Linked DNA regions of Caenorhabditis elegans. The protein of the gene in region 1 interacts with the protein of each later gene in a pairwise test. Each region holds a gene or a part of one and is shown on either strand. Other genes may lie near its edges.

Region 1 (7,852 bases):
ACAGAAACAAAAATTAGAAATTACAGTAATCTTTAAAGGCGCATACCTTTTTTTCTTATTCCTTGAACACAATTTTGTCGTGGCGAGACCTGAAACAGGGGTTTTTGCCTTAAAAAATCGCGAAAATGTCGATTTTTCGCCAAAAAAAGCTGAAAATAGTTTAAAATCCCATTTTTATTCAAAAAATTCAGAAAAACAGGGATTTTCGCCTTAAAAATCCGGAAATATGTCGTTTTTTCGCTTTTTTTGCCAAAAAAAAAGCTGAAAATATATTAAAATTGCATTTTCCTTTAAAAAAATCAGAAAAACAGGGATTTTTGCCTTAAAAAATCGGAGAAAAGTCGTTTTTTCGCTCTTTTTTAGCCAAAAAAAAGCTGAAAACAGTTTAAATCCCATTTTTATTCAAAAATTCAAAAAAACAGGGTTTTTTTGCCTTAAAAAATCAAAAAAAAAGTCGATTTTTTCACTCTTTTTTGCCAAAAAAAAAGTGCTGAAAACAGTTTAAAATCGCATTTTTATCCAAAAACTCAGAAAAACAGGGTTTTATGGCTTAAAAATTCGGAAAAAGTCAATTTTTTCGTTCATTTTTAGCCAAAAAAAAGCTGAAAACAGTTTAAAATCGCATTTTTATTCAAAAATTCAGAAAAACAGGGATTTTCGCCTTAAAAATCCGGAAATATGTCGTTTTTTCGCTCTTTTTTGCCAAAAAAAAAGCTGAAAATAGATTAAAATTGCATTTTCCTTTAAAAAATTCAGAAAAACAGGGATTTTCGCCTTGAAAAATCGGAAAAACATCGATTTTTTCGCTTTTTTTTGCCAAAAAAGTGCTGAAAATCCCACCACACTGGCTGTGTCGTAACCACCACGACTGTGAGCCACCACGTAGATGCTCTTAGCATTCGATGGCTCAATACACGCTATCCAGACAGTTTCAGCGTGCTCGACAGGTGTGCGGGAGTACTGAAAATCGATTTTTCAGCGAATTTTTCGAAATTTCCCGGGTTTTTTCACACCTTCAAATCCTGATCTTTACTTTCATTCAAATTAGTGTTCATCACCACAACACCCCATCCATTTTCAATAGCTCTTTCGATATACGGAATCTGAGTTCCACACTCCAAATTATCATTGATAATGAGTCTACGAGCCCATTGTCCGGCTCTGACGACACCGCTTCCGTGGATCAATACTAGAAGATTTGCAGCTTTTTTGAAATTTTTCGACACAAAAATGAAGCTTAGATCCTCATCCTCGTCGGTTTTTCCTGGAAGTTTTAGCTGAAAAAAAATTTTTTTTTTTGATTTTTAAATTTTTTTTTCCATTTTTTAAAAATTTCTTAATTTACCGCCTTTCTCTTCAGCCCACAACGTGTCTCCAGAAGCTCATAAACTTCCAGATCAACTGCTTCTCCCAGTTCTTCATAATCCTCCTGTGTAGTGAATTTGAAGGGTTTTTTGTCCTTCTCCGTTTTCAGCACGCCTTTTTCGTCGAAAAAGTACCCGAGTTTCGCCAAACTTGACATTGTTCACTGAAATTTATTTGAATTATTCGCAAAAAAACTGGTTAGAACAGAGAAAATTTCCGAAAAAACAATTTTTAAAATTAAAAAAAAAAAAAAATTTCCTGGCCGCGACCGAGGTTTCTCTCGTCCACACGGCGCAATCGCGCTCTGTTGGCAATCTGGCACAATGCCAATATTACACTGAATTTATATTTTTGCACGAAAAACTCTGGATTTAAAGTCGATTTCGCCTGTTTTCATTGGTTTTTTTCGTTTTTTCGTTTTTAAATTAAATATTAATTCAAAAAATCGATTTACAACGTATTTTACAGCTTTTAATGGCTCTGGCGTGCACCGACTCTGCAAATTCCACATTTTCACGTGTCGACTCACCGACTTCCGGCCCATCGGACCAGCTAACAACTCATGACTTGGATCGGTAGCAGTTTTGATATAAAAACAATAAAATATCAACAAAAAAAAAATATTTTCAGCCACATAGAAAAGCTGATGAGATGTGAGCTCATCGCGGAGCAAGATGTCAAAACACTTTGCGCAAAAGCTCGTGAAATCCTAGCGGAAGAGGGCAACGTCCAGGTTATCGATTCTCCGGTGACGGTTGGTTGGATAAAATCGATTTTTAAATCAAAATTTCCATTTTAAATTCTATTTCCAGATCTGCGGAGACATCCACGGCCAGTTCTACGATTTAATGGAGCTCTTCAAAGTCGGCGGACCAGTGCCGAACACCAACTATTTGTTCCTCGGAGATTTCGTGGATCGAGGCTTCTATTCTGTGGAGGTGCCCCCGCTTTTTTGCAATTTTCCTGGCGAAAAAATTGCAAAAAAAACTCCCAAAAAATCGATATTTTTCCAGACATTCCTTCTACTTCTCGCACTGAAAGCTCGCTATCCGGATCGAATGATGTTGATCCGTGGAAATCACGAAAGTCGCCAGATTACTCAAGTCTACGGGTTCTATGATGAATGCCTTCGGAAATATGGAAATGCGTCTGTTTGGAAACATTGTACCGAAGTTTTCGACTACTTATCACTTGCCGCTGTAATTGATGGGAAGGTTTTCTGTGTTCATGGTGGATTATCCCCGTCGATTAGTACTATGGATCAGATTCGTGTTATTGATCGGAAGCAGGAGGTAAAACGCAAAAAATATGCTGTTTTTAATGGAATTTTGCTTTGAATTTCGGTTAAAATTCGGTGAATTACAATTTTTTAAATTTCCGGCATTTTGCCGAATTTGCCGGAAAGTTTTAAAATTTTCGAAAATGAAAATAACCGACAAATCTGCAAATTGCCGGAATTTAAAAATTTCCGGCAAATCAGCAAACCGGCAAATTTGCCCAAAATGAAAATAACCGGCAAATCGACAAATTGCCGGAATTAAAAATTTCTGGCAAATCGACAAACTGCCGTAATGAAACTTTCTGGCAAATCGACAAATTGCCGAAAATGAAAATAACCGGCAAATCGACAAATTGCCGGAATTAAAATTTTCTGGCAAATCGGCAAATGTTCGAATTAAAAAATTTGTGGCAAATTGGCGAAATTGAAAATTTCCGGCAAATCGAAAAATTGCCGGAATTAAAAAATTCCGGCAAATCGGCAAATTGCCGTAATTAAAAATTTCTGGCAAATCGGAAAATTGCCATGTTTAAAAATTTTCGGCAAATCGGAAAATTGCCGAAATTGAAAATTTCCGGCAATTCGTCAAATTGCCGGAATTTAAAAATTTCCGGCAAGTCGGAAATTTGCCGAATTCGCCGGAAAAACGGCAAATTGCCGGAATTAAAAATTTCCGGCAAATCGGCAAATTGCTGGAATTGATAATTTCCGGCAAATCGGCAAATTGCTGGAATTGATAATTTCCGGCAAATCGGCAAATTGCCGGAATTTAAAAATTTCCGGCAAGTCGGAAATTTGCCGAATTCGCCGGAAAAACGGCAAATTGCCGGAATTAAAAATTTCCGGCAAATCGACAAACTGCCGAAAATGAAAATTTCTGGCAAATCGGCAAATTGCTGGAATTGATAATTTCCGGCAAATTTCCGGAATTAAGATTTTCTGGCAAATCGGCAATTTGTCGATCATGAAAATAACCGTCAAATCGACAAATTTCCGGAATTAAAATTTTCTGGCAAATCGGCAAATTGCCGAAAATGAAAATAACCAGAAAATCGGCAAATTTCCGAAAATTTCCGTTTAAAAAAAAATTTCCGTTTTTTTCATTAAAAATTTTTTTTTTTAATTTTCAGACTTTTTTCTAATTTTTTCTCATCAAAATCGACCAATTTAATTTTTATTTCATTTATTTCGATTTTTTCCCCGAAAAATACTAAAAAATTCAAAAAATAGTCTCAAAATCAGAAAAAAACCACAAAAACGCGATTTTTGTCTTCAACCAATCAGCGATTCGCTCCGCCCACTTTTCAACCAATCAGATGGAGTGGGCGGAGTTTGAGTTCTCATTTTGGAGGGAATTCAAAATTGAAAAATCTTTTTATTTTTCTGAATTTGATACTATTTCGGATATTTTGAAGCGAAATTTCAAAATTTACGTTAAATTTTTCGAGAAATCACTTTTTTCCAGCGGGGCGAAGGTTTTGCAAGTCTGCGGTTTGCTATATTTCGATTTACGGAGAATTTTGTAATACACACGGACAAGCGTCGATTAATTTTTTAATTTTTTCTAATAGTAAATTTACAGTTTTGGGCCATTTTTGCCAATTTTTTTTGGTGTTCAACATTAAAAATTGGGTCCATATATATATATTTTTTGAATAGTGTTTACAAAAAAAATTACAGAACTGAAGAACAATTCGAAAAAAAAAAAAAAACGCTTATCCACGTGTAGCACAAACTCCACCGTAAATCGACAGAAATCAAACCGCGCCGCAGGTTTGCAAAACCACCGTTCCGCCTCAAAAATTGAAAAAAAAATCAATTTTTTAATCAAATTTTGTTCGTTTTGATAGAAAAACGTATAAATTTGTGCTAAAAAAGCGAAAAAAAATTCTGAAAATTTCCAGGTTCCCCACGACGGTCCAATGTGTGATCTACTGTGGTCGGACCCCGAAGAAGGAAATGTTGGATGGGGCCTAAGTCCACGCGGAGCCGGTTATCTATTCGGAGCGGACGCGTCGAAAACGTTTTGCGAAACGAACGGAGTCGATTTGATCTGTAGAGCTCATCAATTGGTTATGGAAGGATATAAATGGCATTTCAACGAGAAAGTGCTCACTGTTTGGTCGGCGCCCAACTATTGTTATCGGTACGGGATGGATTTGGAAAAAAAACGGAAATTTTTTTTTCGTGAAAAAGACGAAAAATTAAAATTTTTGGTCACTTTTTTATCATTTAAAGTATAATTTTTAGGAAAAAATACAATTTTTTTCTGAAAATTTGAATTTTCCCGCTAAAATTTGTTTCCAAAAAATTTAAATTTTCCCGCCAAAATTTGATTCCAAAAAAATTCAAATTTTCCGGCCAAAATTTGTTTCCAAAAAATTTGAATTTTCCCGCCAAAATTTGTTTCCAAAAAATTTGAATTTTCCCGCCAAAATTTGTTTCCAAAAAATTTGAATTTTCCGGCCAAAATTTGTTTCCAAAAAATTTGAATTTTCCCGTCAAAATATGTTTTTAAAAGAAAATTTAAATTTTCCCGCCAAAATTTGTTTCCAGAAAATTTGAATTTTCCCGCCAAAATTTGTTTCCAAAAAATTTAAATTTTCCCGCCAAAATTTGTTTCCAAAAAATTTGAATTTTCCCGCCAAAATTTGTTTCCAAAAAATTTGAATTTTCCGGCCAAAATTTGTTTCCAAAAAATTTGAATTTTCCCGTCAAAATATGTTTTTAAAAGAAAATTTAAATTTTCCCGCCAAAATTTGTTTCCAGAAAATTTGAATTTTCCCGCCAAAATTTGTTTCCAGAAAATTTAAATTTTCCCGCCAAAATTTGTTTCCAGAAAATTTGAATTTTCCCGCCAAAATTTGATTCCAGAAAATTTGAATTTTCCCGCCAAAATTTGTTTCCAAAAAATTTGAATTTTCCCGCCAAAATTTGTTTCCAAAAAATTTGAATTTTCCCGCCAAAATTTGTTTCCAAAAAATTTGAATTTTCCCGCCAAAATTTGTTTCCAAAAAATTTGAATTTTCCCGCCAAAATTTGTTTCCAAAAAAATTTACACTTCCCGCCAAAATTTGTTTCCAAAAAATTTGAATTTTCCCGTCAAAATATGTTTTTAAAAGAAAATTTAAATTTTCCCGCCAAAATTTGTTTCCAGAAAATTTGAATTTTCCCGCCAAAATTTGTTTCCAAAAAATTTGAATTTTCCCGCCAAAATTTGTTTCCAAAAAATTTGAATTTTCCCGTCAAAATATGTTTTTAAAAGAAAATTTAAATTTTCCCGCCAAAATTTGTTTCCAAAAAATTCAAATTTTCCCGCCAAAATTTGTTTCCAAAAAATTTGAATTTTCCGGCCAAAATTTGTTTCCAAAAAATTTGAATTTTCCCGTCAAAATATGTTTTTAAAAGAAAATTTAAATTTTCCCGCCAAAATTTGTTTCCAGAAAATTTGAATTTTCCCGCCAAAATTTGTTTCCAAAAAATTTGAATTTTCCCGTCAAAATATGTTTTTAAAAGAAAATTTAAATTTTCCCGCCAAAATTTGTTTCCAAAAAATTTAAATTTTCCCGCCAAAATTTGTTTCCAGAAAATTTGAATTTTCCCGCCAAAATTTGTTTCCAAAAAATTTGAATTTTCCCGCCAAAATTTGTTTCCAAAAAATTTGAATTTTCCCGTCAAAATATGTTTTTAAAAGAAAATTTAAATTTTCCCGCCAAAATTTGTTTCCAGAAAATTTGAATTTTCCCGCCAAAATTTGATTCCAGAAAATTTGAATTTTCCCGCCAAAATTTGTTTCCAGAAAATTTGAATTTTCCCGCCAAAATTTGTTTCCAAAAAATTTGAATTTTCCCGCCAAAATTTGTTTCCAAAAAATTTGAATTTTCCCGTCAAAATATGTTTTTAAAAGAAAATTTAAATTTTCCCGCCAAAATTTGTTTCCAAAAAATTCAAATTTTCCGGCCAAAATTTGTTTCCAAAAAATTTGAATTTTCCCGCCAAAATTTGTTTCCAAAAAATTTGAATTTTCCGGCCAAAATTTGTTTCCAAAAAATTTGAATTTTCCCGTCAAAATATGTTTTTAAAAGAAAATTTAAATTTTCCCGCCAAAATTTGTTTCCAGAAAATTTGAATTTTCCCGCCAAAATTTGATTCCAGAAAATTTGAATTTTCCCGCCAAAATTTGTTTCCAAAAAATTTGAATTTTCCCGCCAAAATTTGTTTCCAAAAAATTTGAATTTTCCCGCCAAAATTTGTTTCCAAAAAATTTGAATTTTCCCGCCAAAATTTGTTTCCAAAAAAATTTAAACTTCCCGCCAAAATTTGTTTCCAAAAAATTTGAATTTTCCCGTCAAAATATGTTTTTAAAAGAAAATTTAAATTTTCCCGCCAAAATTTGTTTCCAGAAAATTTGAATTTTCCCGCCAAAATTTGATTCCAGAAAATTTGAATTTTCCCGCCAAAATTTGTTTCCAAAAAATTTGAATTTTCCCGCCAAACTTTGTTCCCAAAAAATTTGAATTTTCCCGCCAAAATTTGTTTCCAAAAAATTTAAATTTTCCCGCCAAAATTTGTTTCCAGAAAATTTAAAATTTTCCCGCCAAAATCACGTAGTGCCAGAGTGTCCCATTTCGGTTTGATCTACAAAAATGCGGGAGAAGTGACGCACTGATTTTGCATGATTAAGAACGTGTTGACGTCACATTTTTTGGACAAAAAAATCCCGCATTTTTTGTAGATCAAACCCAAAAATTTGTTTCAAAAGAAAAATTGAATTTCCCGGAAAACTTGAGCTTTTTTTGCAGTAAAAAAAAACTTAATGAAAATTTTCCAGATGCGGCAACGTGGCGGCAATTCTCGAGCTCGACGAGAATCTCAACAAGGAATTCACAATTTTCGAAGCTGCTCCACAAGAAAATCGCGGAGCACCGGCCAAAAAACCGCACGCCGACTATTTCCTCTAATTTTTTCTCGAAATTTTCTCGAAATTTCTTTCTCGCCCAAAAATTCCGAAGAATCTCCCCCTTTTATATCGCCGAAACACCATTTTTTTCCTTTTTTTTTTGCTCCCACAAAAATATTTCAATATTTAATTATTATTTTCCACACACACACACACATTTTTCTGTAAATGTCCACCCCCCTCCAAATTTTACGGATTTATTTTTTTTTCGACAAAAAAAAGTATTAAAATTTATTTCATGCTATTCA
Region 2 (2,891 bases), on another chromosome or scaffold:
GTAACTTTCCGGGTCCTACCGCGAACGAAAATTTCCAACTACAGTACCCCACATGGTAGCTCACGTGGTGCCAGGCTGTCTCATTGCGGTTTGATCTACAAAAATCCAGGAATTTTTCCCCTAGCAAAGAGTGACGTCAGCACGTTCTTAACCATGGGAAATCAATTGAGAACTCTGCGTCTCTTCTCCCGCATTTTTTGTAGATCTACGTAGATCAAAAAGGAGACACTCTGACACCACGTGGTAGCTGAGAAGTTTTGTTCGTGCCAAGACCCAAAGCATGGATTTGATCGAAAAAATATTATGCCAGTCCGAGTTTTTAGTCGTAATCGCAACTTTTTGGGTCCTGCCGCGAACGTAACTTTCCAACTACAGTACCCCCACACGATAGCCAAATTCGTTCGTGCCAAGACCCAAAACTGGGATTTTGGCTAAAAATGTATTTTTTTTCAGAAGAAATTGAATTTTAACGAGAAAAATTGGTTTTTTTTTCCTGGAAATTTTCGAATTTTCCAAATTTCAAATTTCCCGATCTTTCAGGTCCATCTACCCTGCCTTCATCACGATGAAGCCCTATGACCCCTTCGTAAAAGCCTTCACACTTCATAAGGATCTCAACTGGAATCGAATGGTCGACTACTTGGAGGACGGTGTACACCCGGGCTGTCATCAATTGTCAAGTCCCTCCGATTTCCTCTTCGCCACCGGAACCCAGAAGCCTCTGGTCGTATTTTTCGACCCACTGGACTCTAAAAATTCTGAAGGATTCAAAAAATCTGCTGCCGAGCAGCAAAGCGGCGATCGAATTGCTCATTTTTCGGCTGTAACCGGTTTCGACCTGTTTGGACTGTATGTGATGAGCGTTTTTAATGTGAATTCCCCGAGCTATATTGTCATTCGGCGACAGGTACTTTCACTTTTTAACTTCAAATTAAATTCATTTTTTCCAGGAAAAAGGATGGTGCATCCACACAAAACCCGCTGAAAACGACAATTTCACTGGAATTCTTTCATGGGTTCGGAATTTGGAGCCAGTTCACTGCCAGGAGCTCATTGAAAACTTCAAGTTCCCAATTGCTCGTTTGAATCTGTTGGAGCGGTATGATGACGTGGAAGAGCTAGAGAAAGGGTTCACGGCCGTGGAGTGGACTAGGGACGAGCTATAGGAATTTTAAAAAATTGCTCTGTTGTAATTTGGTAAAAATAAATAATTTAATTTGTTTTAATTTGATGTTTTACAGATTAAAATTGCATTAAAAATTTATATTTAAGAATTAATTAATTTTCCCTGCTCGTCATTTTAAATGCCAGTTCCGCAGGTACACCGCCACGGTAGATTGCGGACAAAAGAATCCTTTTTTTAGCTGTTTTAAGGAAATAACAAGAAATTTCGATGAAAATTTTCAGTTTTAAGCTTTCATACTAAGATTTAATAAAAAACAGACAATTTTAATGTAGAATTGCAGGCGATATCCTAGTTTCCACACTGAAAATCACTTGCGCGTCAAATAAAATGCAAAGTACGCATTGACACCGTCACGTCCCATTGCACACAATTTCTCAATTATTATTTTTCTTTTTCGATCTTTTGATTTTAAATCTGAAAATGGACATGATCGAGCTTGAAAAAAAGATTTCTGAAATTGAAGAAGTTCTAGGAATCGATGATCTCACCACGGTAAGCTTTTTTCGCGCAATTTCCAATAAAAATGCCAATTTTTTTTCCAGAAAACATCAATTCCCTCTCAAATCGAGGCTCTTCAATCCAAATTACGAGATGATTGTAAGGCGAATCTGCTAATGTCGATTCCCATTCAAAAGCTGGAGCATTTGAGCAAAATCGCCACGGAAGTACGTTGGAAAAACTGAATTTTCTGTGAAAAATCGATTTTTCAGACATCCGGCCCATATGGATCGCTGACTGACAAAATAGAGTCTGTAAAATACGCGGAAAAGCTGATCAATGAACGAGCGGAACGGATTAAACAATTTTCAGATGCTCTTGAGGTCTTTTTTTGCGATTTTTCAGAGAAAATTGAAGAAAAATAAAAAATTTCAGCCCTGCCTCGACCAGGAGCTCTTCTCAAAAGTGGCTGCACTTCAACCGGAGCTTGACGCTGAAATCGAAAAATACGAGAAGGCCCTGGAGGACTGGACCAAGTAATTGCAGTTTTTAAAGCCTAAAAATCTGAAATTTCCAAAATTTCAGAACCTACGGAGAATTCCAGACACTTGTCGCCGAGCGGTCAATGATCAACCAAAAAATCACCGAAAAAGTGCTGGATCTGCAGACGAAAATCAACGCAAAAGCTAAATAATTAAATATTTTTTCGCTGGATTGTAATTTATTTTTATTTTCTTTGTTTTCCTGTAAAAATTGAAATTCTACAAGTTTTTTGTTAGACAGAAAGACGAATTGGCAGCAATTATCGACTTTTCGAAGTGGGCAAGATGATGACGTTGTTTCGGGAAATTGGAAAATTTGTTTTTTTCCAATTTTTTTCCTCGCAAGAAAAATAGTTTTCTCTCCATTTGAATTACTAGATTTTTCAAAAAATTTGAACTTTTCTCCGTGGAGCGCGCTTGCATTATTAGATTTTACGAAAATTTGAATATTTCTCAGTGGAGCGCACTTACACCTCACTTTTTTCCAAAATTTTTAGTAATTCTCGATGGAGCGCGCTTGCAGCAAGGTAATTTTCAAAATTTTCCCAAAATCTCTATGTAGCGCAGTTGTAATCCAAAATTACAGCTAATTACCAGTAGAGCGCGCTTGCATCAGTATTTTTAAAATTTTTTTGAAATCAATTATCAGTGGAGCGTACTTGCATCCCAATAAATTTCATATAGTGCCAGGCTGTCCCATTACAGTTTGATCTACAAAAAATTCG
Region 3 (8,013 bases), on another chromosome or scaffold:
TAGACTTGTATCTTCTGGTTCTACTTTGGCAGAATATATCTCGGTTGCTTTAAATTTTATCAATAAATTGTCAACTACCAAATATGTACCAAATATGTCTCTATATTTTGGTTGTAGAGAATTTTTTGATAACACTTGAGACAATTGGAAAATAGGCCGTCAAAGTAGAGTAATTGTGGTGCAGACTTTGTAGGGAAAATACGGTATGCCTCAGCTTTAGTACTGGACGGCGATAATTTTAAACTATTTTTTTACAGGTTTCAATGTTTACAAAACTTGTTTACTGACAATGAGTTCTTAATTTTTTTACCACAGCCCAACATTAAAAATGCAAAACCTTAGCCAGCACGGAACATTTTCGTAGAACTATTTGATCACTTGTACCTCCAATCTTGTCATCATTCTCACCCATAAATGAAAACAAAATGTTAACAATGTCTTATTCTCCCCCTCTTCCAATTCCCTCACTAACATCTCCTCATTTTTCCATTTCAAATCATTTCTCTCTTGTCCTTGACTGTGATAATCGGCCACTTCCTATGAGGTAAAAGTAGTCGTCATCTCTTCTAAATTCTCTCGGAATACGCCTATACGCCAAGCGCATCATTTCAAAAAGTGAAGCGCGCAGAGAGAAAAAAGAAGGAGGAACGCAAATAGCAGCTCGTTTTTCGACGGTTCGGCAACAAAATGGGGGCGGAGCAATTGGTGGGGGCGCTTCTCAGGGCCTCTGCCTCATCGACCCCCGGCGCAACAGACCGTCCTCACAATACCCTTTCGGTATTCTGTAGGAATGCTTGTGTGTGTGTGTCTTTCCGATTTCATTTTTTTCGCTTCACTTTTTTACTCCGAGCAGAGCAGGAGCACTGTGTCTTTTTCTACTTTTATTCACTCCACCCCAAAGTTACTTTAAGCTTTCTAAACTATCGTGAATGAGTAACCGAATGGTTTAGGATTTCAAGTAGTGTCAATTAGAACTTGGTCATACAATTACTCAATAAATTTCCAACTTTATGACTCACTGAACACCCACATGTTTCTTCACATCTTTTGCTAGTTTTATTATGATTTTAAGTTTGAGTCAACAAGCTTTAGGTATGAAAATATGAATACTAAAATTAAAAAAAAAACAGCAATTCATTTTCAAAATCATTCATAAAAGTTGAAAACTTTACGAAACAAAATGCAACATAAATTTCGCTGTCCCACTTTTTTTAGAAAGTTTTTCAGATCTGAACAATTAAGTCTTTAAAGGAGATAGGCATGAAATCATTCCTTTTTGCCGGCTTTCGTACTTGGTTGCATCCTATTTTTCCTGTGAATTCTAGTAGGTTTCGTGCCTACCTAGAAGGTTTTTATTATTTTGCGATCATTTCACGTTGCTCGAAAAAAACAATTATAAGAAGCATTTACTGTAGTCTGCAGAAATAAAAAAAAATCAAGATAATCTTTTAAAAAAATCATGAATAAAATCATTTAACTTCCATCATTTTCTCGTCATTTTCCACCCAATTCTTGCAAATTTCCCTGCACAATGCGCGAGAAATTCAATCTCTATTGTTCTTCCATCTAACAATTCTCCGGAATGTGCTTGGGTGTTTCAATTTGTTTGACAGGTTAACGTTGACTCACCATCATGTCCTTCCACCCATATTCAATTCTGATTTCCATGAACAAAAATGGGCGTGTTCAGTCACTCCTCCTCCACCTTATTTGTTTTCTGTTTTTTTGTGGAGTGTACTCAAAAAAATGTTGAACATATATATGAGTGTGTATGTTTGTTGAAAACCGGCCACGCTTATTTGGGTTTTGATAAGGAACAAATTGGATGCCGAAGGATGCAGAAACATTTTTTTTTATCATATTGTTGTTTTAAGGTTTAACACTTTTTATTAAAATTTGTAATTGTTACTTTTTGCTCAGTTTTCTGTATTTTCCCAATTCAGCTTCTATATTTTCAAAAAAAAAATTTCAGGTAGCGTCAAACTTCTGAAAGAAGATGTCGTCTCACAAGGAATCTTCCGAGTACGAGATGCAATACAGATCCACCATCCAGCCAAGAACAGCGGTTCGCTCTCAATCACGTCAGTCTGGAAACTACGTGTCTGGTGGAAATGGAGCAGGATCCGGAGGTTAGTTAGATTTTAAAAAAATTTAAAGTTGAAAACGGTAAAGATTAAAAAAAATTTCAGCTATTACTATATCCTTTCCTCTGAAAATAATCATCAATACCAGGAGCATTTCTTGTTTCAAATTCTTGATTTGAAATCCGGATAGTTATATATCTTTTAAAAAAATTTCCTACTGAAGTCTAAGCTTCAGAGATCACTCAATTTCCAACGTATTTTCTATACTTTCCTGTTAGATTGAGAGTTTCAGAATATACTTTTATTTTTTCAAAAGTAGTAAACCTTCAAGCTATTTTTCTCCTGGACCGGTCTTATAGATGACCTTAATTCAAGTTGACACTATACATCCGATCAACTATTAACTGAACCAATATTCCAATATTCTTTTTTCCTTTCTTTCTCTATTTCTCTGTTTACATGTTTATCCGTCTACTACCCATCCATAATTATGTATTTGAATTCAAAGCGAATTAGTGAACAGTCGCATCAATCGAACCGAACACTTTATTCTCTCTCTCTCTCTCTCGTTCATCCGATTGCAAAAAAATAGTTTGGGTGGTTTTATTAATCAATTGGAAGATGAAGTAAATATTGGTTTTTGCTGTGCTATACAATAGAAATGAGGATGGAAATATAGACCTGGAGGATGAAAAGAAAATATAAAAACGAGAAAAAGAGAGCAAGAGTCGTTATCAGTGCGAACGCGTTGATTTGTTCTTGGCTAAACGAAACGTTTTTGAGAAAGGTGAACAGTTTGGTAGAGGATAATATTTTGAGCAGGGATTTTACATTTTTTCTACTCGGAGTTGATCCAAAATCTTCTGCTTAAAAATATCACTTAAAATCAATTATTTTCGAAATTATAAAAGTTAAAAGATAAAAAGTAATACTTTATGCCTTTAAATGCAATTTTTAATTTAATGAGTTTTCTTAATATTTGCTCACTTGGCAAGAAACCACACTTTTTCATAGTTTAACAAAAATCTAGAAACAGGTTTTTATGAAGTGAAATTTCTGTGAATAAATGGGGGAATTCCTCAAAAATTAAACAAATATTAATATTTTTGGAGTTTTGAGGCAAAAATGGGGAAAATTTGAAATTGGCAATTTTAGCATAAAATGTCAGGATAATTAAAACTTCAAAAACTGCAGTCGAAATATATTTAATTAAAAGCTAAAAACAGTTTTTAACAGTAAAAATTTGAAATTGAAAATTGTTTGTTAAGTCAGAGATTTAGGTACGTAAACTTACTACATAGTATTAGCTTCTTATAACTTGCCGTAAGCCTACGCACGTATCTGCTGCCTAAACACAAGTTATCTTTTATGTTTGTAATTTTTAGTTGTTCTTTGAGCAAGTTAACTCACTGTGAAAATAGAAAATAGGCAGGCATTACCATAACAAAAGAAAAATTGTTCTTTTTTATTGTTTTAAGCAAATCTGGAGATCAAGATCAAAATATAAGACCACAAGATTTTTTTCCGGCAGCCCATATCGTTTCCTATTCAACCGTCATTAAATCCACTTTTTCTCATCCAAAAAATCCCATAAATCTCTGGGTTTTCTCGTCTCTCGATACAGTCTCACAATTAGCATAATCACTGAGGAACGCCCTTCATTTTCAAACCAAAAATCTATTGAATTTAAAAGTTCAAGTTCCATCAAGTTTATAGTGCATGACAGAAAGAGTTGTTAGGCAAATAGTCTTCAACTATGCATATACATAAAAATGGCAACATTTTTGGAAATAAAATGCAAAAAGCAAATAACAGATTGAAAGAGGCACCAAAATTTCAGACAGTTTTAAATACAATATTTCAATTTTCGTAACCAGTTGAGATAACATGTATAAAAAGATACATTGAGCCGATTAAGTCAACAAAATGTTTAGTTTGTTGTTTCTTGGGCACACTTTCCGCCAGCCGGCTGACTGCTCAACACACTTGAAAACTTGACGGACTTTGAAGAAATCCGAGCTTTTATTGATTTTATTCATCATTTATTTTAATTTTGTTTTTTTTTGGGTAACGAATTAAAATTAAAAGAATCCCCTGAATAACTTTTAATTTAGAATACAGTTACGAAATAGATGAGAAATAGGTGAGAAAGGAAGGAATGACCACACCCAAGATGTGACTATTTTGAATGATGAGAAACTGAGACATGGAAAACACCCATTTTTTATGTGTGATTAGTCATTTAGTTTTAATGAGTGAGAATTGGGTGGAACAGTGACAAGAACTTATTATACTGATTATCACTTGATTTATGAGATCTTCTCGGATAGAATCTCGGATTTCTCCGATTTATTGCAAGATGGTGTAGAGTTTTTTTTTTCAATTAGAAATGTCCCATCTTACATTTAAGTTGTCAAAACTAATTTTTTAACCAATTTTGTTCTAACTTGAGATAAGTCAATTTTTGCGGCCCGTGTTTCAAGATTCTTAAACTTAAAAACATTTTTGAGGACTGGAAATGATGTTTTTCTTAATTGAATTTCTATCAAATTGACAAAAATAAAACAGGTACGTTGGCCTAAAAATAAGCCTTCCTACCATTAGATTTAGTTTCTGAAACAAAAATATCTCCCTTACCAAAAAATGTCAAAAATGGAATCCTAGTTAAATTAATTAGCTTCCCCGCAATTTAAAAAAGATAACAAAAATGAATGATTGAGATCTGATCAAGATGATTATCTTTAGTTGACTCCGCCCACAACAACCTTGACGTATTCTTCATCTTCAATTTCTAAGTAAGTAGTGTCTTGATCTCTTTCCACTTTTCTTCCAATTTATCCATTCATTCATAGGCACAGTCAACTCGCAATCTGTACGTATGTGTACATGTCCGTTGTCTTCAACTTATCACCATTATATCTTCTTCTCTTTCTCCATTTTCTATCATCGGTGATGATCGGGAAGGCAAAACCATTGACACACCTTCATTCTTTTTCTCTAAGTTCTCCACAAATTTAATGCTATTTCTTCGTTGGGTGGAGTATTCAGAAGAGGGTCAGAATTGGTCGACGGTTTCCGTTATTTTGCATAGTGTTTGTGACACTTACATTTAGTTTCTATACCATTTGTTTTTCATTTTTCATTCAGAAATTTTCGAACTTGTTCCTCATTATTTTTTTTCCCTTAATCTTCTAGAAAAACTTTAAAATTTCAAGCTAAAACACATCAGAAATGGAGGCTGAATCAGCGCCACAGGCACCAATGTCAGGAGGTAAGAATAGAAGAATATCGAAATATAAATTCCCAATAGAAATATAAAAACACTCAAATCAAATCTAATCTCCTAATTATCATTATAAAAACGTTCAGGACGCGTGCTAAAGATGGTGACAGAGATGGGATCAGCTACAGTCGGAGGAATTTCACCGGCCTTGTCCGCAAACGCAGCAAAATCGTTCCTTGAGGCGACTGATAAGGAAAAGAAGACACTGCAGGGACTCAATGATCGTCTCGGAAATTACATTGATCGTGTCAAGAAACTCGAAGAGCAGAACCGTAAATTGGTTGCTGATTTGGATGAGCTTCGCGGAAAATGGGGAAAAGACACATCCGAGATTAAGGTATTTTAGTGAATTTCAAATAAATTTTAAGCAAGCTTCTGCAAGCAAAAAACTGAAGTAGTTGTAGAAAAAACATTTATTATTTGATTGTGAATCAGTAATTTCTATTTAGATATATATTCGAAACTTTCAAGATTTTATTTACTATATTAGAGAATTCTCTCAAACATCCTTAAAATCTTCAACTTACCAGAAGAAAATCTGTGCGCTTCCTGTCCAGTGTTTTTTTAAAATTTCAACCTATATTTTGGAACAAACTTCTTAAAGCTTCTTTCCTATTCAAATTGTTAATTTCAGATCAAATACTCCGAATCCCTCTCAACAGCTCGTAAGGACATTGACGATGCTGCTCGTAGAAAGGCAGAGGTTGATGTGAAAGTTGCCAGACACCGTGACGACTTGGCTGAGTACAGATCCAGGTTTATTTATTCTTAATTTTCTGTTGCTTATCAATATTTATTCAGATACGAAGATATCCAGCAACGCCGTGAGTCCGATCGCGAGAAGATCTCCCAATGGACCAATGCTATCGCTGATGCTCAATCCGAAGTTGAGATGCTCCGTGCTCGTTTCAAGCAATTGACAGATGAGGAGAAGCGTGTTACAGCTGACAACTCGAGAATCTGGGAAGAACTTCAGAAGGCCAGAAGCGATCTTGATGATGAGACCATTGGCAGAATTGACTTCCAAAATCAAGTGCAGACTTTGATGGAGGAGCTCGAATTCTTGAGAAGAGTTCACGAACAAGAGGTTAAGGAACTTCAAGCTCTCCTTGCTCAGGCTCCAGCTGACACCAGAGAGTTCTTCAAAAACGAATTGGCTCTTGCCATCCGTGATATCAAAGATGAGTATGATATCATTGCCAAGCAAGGAAAGCAAGACATGGAGTCCTGGTACAAGCTCAAGGTTTCCGAGGTTCAAGGATCTGCCAACCGTGCCAATATGGAGTCCACCTACCAGAGGGATGAGGTCAAGAGAATGAGAGACAACATTGGAGATCTCCGCGGAAAATTGGGAGATTTGGAGAACAAGAACTCACTTTTGGAGAAGGAAGTTCAGAACTTGAACTACCAATTGACCGACGATCAAAGACAATACGAAGCTGCCCTCAACGACAGAGATGCTACATTGAGAAGAATGCGTGAGGAATGCCAAACATTGGTTGCTGAGCTTCAAGCTCTTTTGGATACCAAGCAAATGCTTGACGCCGAAATTGCCATCTACAGAAAAATGCTCGAGGGAGAAGAGACCAGGTAATTATTATCGTTATTTAATCAATATTCCCAGCAAGCCAAATTTTGGGCAGTTTTGTTATCATTTTGTTCTAAAACCTTTCTCAAAAGTTTCAAAAATATATTTGCAGAGTCGGACTCACCCAAATGGTTGAGCAAGCCGTCAAGACGCATTCTCTCCAACAACAAGAAAACACTGATTCGACAAGATCAGTTCGCGGTGAGGTATCCACCAAGACCACCTTCCAAAGATCCGCCAAGGGAAATGTGACAATTTCCGAGTGTGATCCAAATGGAAAGTTCATCAAGCTTGAGAACTCGCACAGAAACAAGGTATGTTGAAGCTTTTTGGTTTTGAAATGTTGAAAATTTTATTTCAGGATGAGAATGTTGGTGAGCACAAAATCAGAAGAAAGTTGGATGGAAGACGCGAAATTGTCTATTCCATTCCAGCCAATGTTGTTATCAAGCCAGGAAAGAACTTGACCGTAAGTTATTTTTATCATTGTTTTAGAAAAAAGTGTGTAGCTATGTAAATATTCTTAGTATTTTTTTAGTCTGCCACTATATTTTTGAGAAACCCAGCCAACATAGTCTGAAGCCCGTTAAAAACGTACTTTCACCTGAAAATTTCCAAAAAAAAAATTTTGAAAGGGAATGGCCAAATTTTGCTAAAATCTGAAATTTTGTGAGATTGTCCATGTAGCAATATCGGAAAATCAGTTGTTATTTCTCTAATGCTCTTTATCAGAGTTACAGGTTTTAGAAATTTGAAAATGTTTTCCCCAAGTTTTGAGCCACCATAAGAAATTTGGAAACATTTTCTGAGAGGTCTCATTATGAAATTTAATCGTTTCGGGTTAGTCTAAGGGTTTCTCGCATTTGCTGAGAAACTAATCTACATAATTTCGAAAAGAGAATATTCCAATTCCAATAAATTTCCAGATCTACGCCCGTGACCAAGGAGGCATCAACAACCCACCAGAGTCTCTTGTCTTCGATGGAGAGAACACCTGGGGAATCGGAGCCAATGTTGTGACGTCATTGGTGAACAAGGATGGAGAGGAGCGTGCAACA
Region 4 (3,176 bases), on another chromosome or scaffold:
TCGTTTAAATATTGAACAATTTATAACAGTAACAACATAACAGAAATGTACAAAAATGAAACAACAAAATGCATTAGTTTCGAGGAGTGTTTTACTCTTTTTCGTAGATTCGAGTGCATGTGACGTCATCCACCAAATTGTGATATACAATATGCAACTTTCCGTCGACAGTGAACTGGAAGAACTTCTTGATGATGGTGTGATCAGTCCGGTTTTTGAAAATGATGATGAGATGATTATTCTCGAAAGTCCAAGTTTCAGTGTGATCGGAATATTTCGTTTCATATCCAAGAAGAATTGTTGTTTCCTTGACAGTATCCCAGGTATTATCAATTAAAACGAATAATTTCCATGTCAAGTATTCTCCGTGGAGAGAATATCTCAGATGTCCATTCAGCCATTGACTCTTTCTAATTGGATCCTCAGGTTTTGCACAATGTGGGTAGTTGTGCAATGAAGAAGGTTTCCATGTTCCAACGATTTCCTCTTCAATCAGAACCATTTTCTAAAAAAATCGAATCAAATTCCAATTATTTTATATTTCCAGAAACAAACCTCTTTCTTCTCATTATAACCTTTTGCTCCAAGAGCTTTCATCTCTCTGTTGATTGCTTTGAACTCTTTGATAACTTCCTCATTGAAAAGTTCGGAAACATTTTGTTTCTTTTTCATCTCCATAATCTCGCCATGAATTGACTTCACGTCATTGAGAACTTCTTCTTTGTGAATCTTGAATTCTTGGTACTGTATCTAAAAATTAAAGATTATTAAAAAATTTCAAATTCAAAAATCAATCACCGATTCATTTTCATTTTCAGAATCCCTCTGGGTACTTTTCAATTCGGTTACTTCGACGCTCAAAGCTTGAATTGATTTTTTATCATTATCTTGATCGTTTCTCATCAATCGAAGTTCGTGATCTTGCAGCTTCTGCTCACTTTCCACATACTTGATTTCTGAACGCATCTCTCGAAGTTCTGTTTTGGTGTTCGAAATAAATTCTGCATTCGATGGCTCTGATGTCGCTGGCTGCTTCTGAATGTTCATCAAACTCTCATTGAGAAGTCCAATTTTCTTTTCTTGTATCGCTTGAACCTCCGATATTATTTCCACTTTTCGATCAAGCAAGGAAAAATGTTCGGTGCATCGTGGATCAACTGGAGGATCCTAAAACTTTTTAAACGTTGAGAACAAATTCACTTAATATTTACAAACCTGATAAAGCATATCAAGCATCTTCTCCGTGTCTTGATGAAGTTTTTGAAGCTTCGAATGTATATAATCCCGGAAATTCTCCATCTAGACGATTTCGTGTGTTGAGAACTCCAGTGAGCGCTGAAAATACGCGAATTTCAGTAAAGATCCTTTAAAATTATTTTTCTAGAAATTTATGAACAACGGAAGAAATAATTTTAGCGCAGATCGAATCGAAAATCAGCAGTACTCAGAAACAAAAGATTTTAACGAAAGCTGAGCAAGAAGGTTACTGTATTTCGTTAGGAGACCGTTTACAAAAATGAATGCGTGCGCCTTTAAAGTACTGTATACAAAGTTTTTTTCCGAAAAATGAATCAAAAATCTAGATTTATATCTGTCGATTTCTGATTGAATAATACGGTTTTAATTCTACTCTTCGCTTCAATAAGTCTGCTGGATTTTTTTCAAAGTAAGTATCAAAAATTATTATTTAAAAAAACTAACTTTCAAACCGTTTTAAATTTAGAACTACTCGAAGCTCGAAATTAGAAACAAAACTTTAAGAATTGATCTACCCGGTAAATATTCTAATTTCCAGATGTATTCTCTACCGTTCACCTTGTTGATCATTCCTTCTGCAACGACCACATTGCTTCCCTGCGCCTATTTCTTCTATATTCTCCACAGTCCAACTGAAAATGTCAACTGCTTCAGTTCTTGATGATATCGATTACGATTCGAGCTTCGAAATGGTCGAAGAAGAGAAGTTCGAGAAAATTGAAAATACTGACAACTCGGAGAATTTTCAATATGTTTCAACGAAAGGAAATACTGTTAAAGAAGTAAATATCAATTCGAATGAGAAGAAGAAGAAAGAGGTGAGATCAAGTTTTAATTGCTGGGGAATAGATTCACTTTTTCATTTTGCTGATGTAAAATTTTCAATTTTCAGGCTCCAATTCAAATCCTCACTGCCATGATCGGGAAATGGAAACTTGCATCCTCTGAAAATCTCCAAGAATATTTCACTCTCGAAAAGTTCCCGGAGATAACCCAAATGGCCTGGGAGCACGGAATTACTTGTTACAAGATGAACGGCAATCAACTTCATGTTCACACCGATTTGCTCGGAAAATCTCTGATTCCTACAATTTTCGAGTTTGATAAGCCAATTGCCAGGGACGACAATGCGGTTTCAACGCATGCAGAAGGAAACATGATGAGCACCATTTGCAAGAGGATTGCTGACGGATCGATTGTTTGGAAAGTGGAGAGACTCATCAAAAATGGAAATCTTGTGGTTTTCAACAGCAGAGGGAACTTTCGGTGCAAGAGAGTATACAAGCGTGTTAACTGAACAACTTATGATATTACTATTTTTATTCCATTTAACGCCGTTATTTTTAATTCGTATTTTCAACCAAGTTGACCGTGACAATAAACCTTTGATTTCTTCTTTCTCGATTGACGATTTAAAATTTGAAACTTATTTGCAGATGCGGAGAATTTTATAGGCATGTTTTACTTGCTTGGTTCGCGGAATTTGGCATTTTTTGGTACAAAATTTCGTTTCCGTCTCGACACGATCGGAAGCTACCGTAACCCGAAATATTCCACAATTTTTCACCCAGATCAGTCCGGGAATTGGATTTTAAAATACAAAAAAAGTTGTCCAACTGAAAACCTTTTTCTCTGGAATCAATCAGAGAGTATATAAAAGCAAAATATAAAATCAGTATATGTTTACTTGCCTACATGCCTACACGCCTACTTCAAGCCTGCCTGCCTACTTACCTACTTCAAGACTGCTTGCCTACCAACGTGCGTAGTTAATTGCCTGCTGTTCATACCTTTTGGACAATGACTGAACCAAAAAAACTTCAATTTATTTTCTTTGTAAAAGTAACAAATAAAAATGGAGGCACGTCTGCAGGCACACAGAAGGCCCCTAGAAGGCAAAGGCCGGCAGAATATCAGGC

What was found.
Region 2: the proteins of pph-4.1 (region 1) and dnc-3 interact in a two-hybrid assay, tested with the Caenorhabditis elegans proteins (one large-scale study listed by BioGRID).
Region 3: the proteins of pph-4.1 (region 1) and ifb-1 interact in a two-hybrid assay, tested with the Caenorhabditis elegans proteins (one large-scale study listed by BioGRID).
Region 4: the proteins of pph-4.1 (region 1) and EEED8.3 interact in a two-hybrid assay, tested with the Caenorhabditis elegans proteins (one large-scale study listed by BioGRID).

Annotation. Positions count from the first base shown.
Region 1 is NC_003281.10:12,345,318-12,353,169, reverse strand, and holds pph-4.1 (Serine/threonine-protein phosphatase 4 catalytic subunit 1), read left to right. Parts: upstream 1-1,833; 5' UTR 1,834-1,839; coding exon 1,840-1,940; intron 1,941-1,995; coding exon 1,996-2,119; intron 2,120-2,177; coding exon 2,178-2,303; intron 2,304-2,378; coding exon 2,379-2,657; intron 2,658-4,548; coding exon 4,549-4,790; intron 4,791-7,475; coding exon 7,476-7,605; 3' UTR 7,606-7,847; downstream 7,848-7,852. Other genes in the region: FAM172 family protein homolog Y75B8A.31, read right to left, coding at 841-960, 1,014-1,277, 1,346-1,522. UniProt on the Caenorhabditis elegans protein: Protein phosphatase which plays an essential role in meiosis and in early embryonic mitosis.
Region 2 is NC_003280.10:3,552,230-3,555,120, forward strand, and holds dnc-3 (DyNactin Complex component), read left to right. Parts: upstream 1-1,550; 5' UTR 1,551-1,606; coding exon 1,607-1,678; intron 1,679-1,728; coding exon 1,729-1,851; intron 1,852-1,896; coding exon 1,897-2,007; intron 2,008-2,059; coding exon 2,060-2,160; intron 2,161-2,209; coding exon 2,210-2,318; 3' UTR 2,319-2,388; downstream 2,389-2,891. Other genes in the region: W10G11.19 (DUF4105 domain-containing protein), read left to right, coding at 541-907, 951-1,166.
Region 3 is NC_003280.10:5,763,646-5,771,658, forward strand, and holds the start of ifb-1 (Intermediate filament protein ifb-1), read left to right. Parts: upstream 1-1,972; 5' UTR 1,973-1,996; coding exon 1,997-2,129; intron 2,130-4,576; exon of another isoform or gene 4,577-4,700; intron 4,701-5,299; exon of another isoform or gene 5,300-5,315; coding exon of another isoform or gene 5,316-5,355; intron 5,356-5,453; coding exon 5,454-5,704; intron 5,705-6,001; coding exon 6,002-6,123; intron 6,124-6,168; coding exon 6,169-6,957; intron 6,958-7,067; coding exon 7,068-7,269; intron 7,270-7,316; coding exon 7,317-7,424; intron 7,425-7,881; coding exon 7,882-8,013. UniProt on the Caenorhabditis elegans protein: Cytoplasmic intermediate filaments provide mechanical strength to cells. Essential protein, involved in attachment structures in epidermal cells that connect muscles to the external cuticle. Required in morphogenesis and epidermal integrity.
Region 4 is NC_003280.10:5,412,716-5,415,891, forward strand, and holds EEED8.3 (lipocalin/fatty-acid binding family protein), read left to right. Parts: upstream 1-1,560; 5' UTR 1,561-1,666; intron 1,667-1,795; 5' UTR 1,796-1,895; coding exon 1,896-2,075; intron 2,076-2,149; coding exon 2,150-2,554; 3' UTR 2,555-2,655; downstream 2,656-3,176. Other genes in the region: EEED8.14 (MATH domain-containing protein), read right to left, coding at 92-505, 556-750, 799-1,167, 1,216-1,299.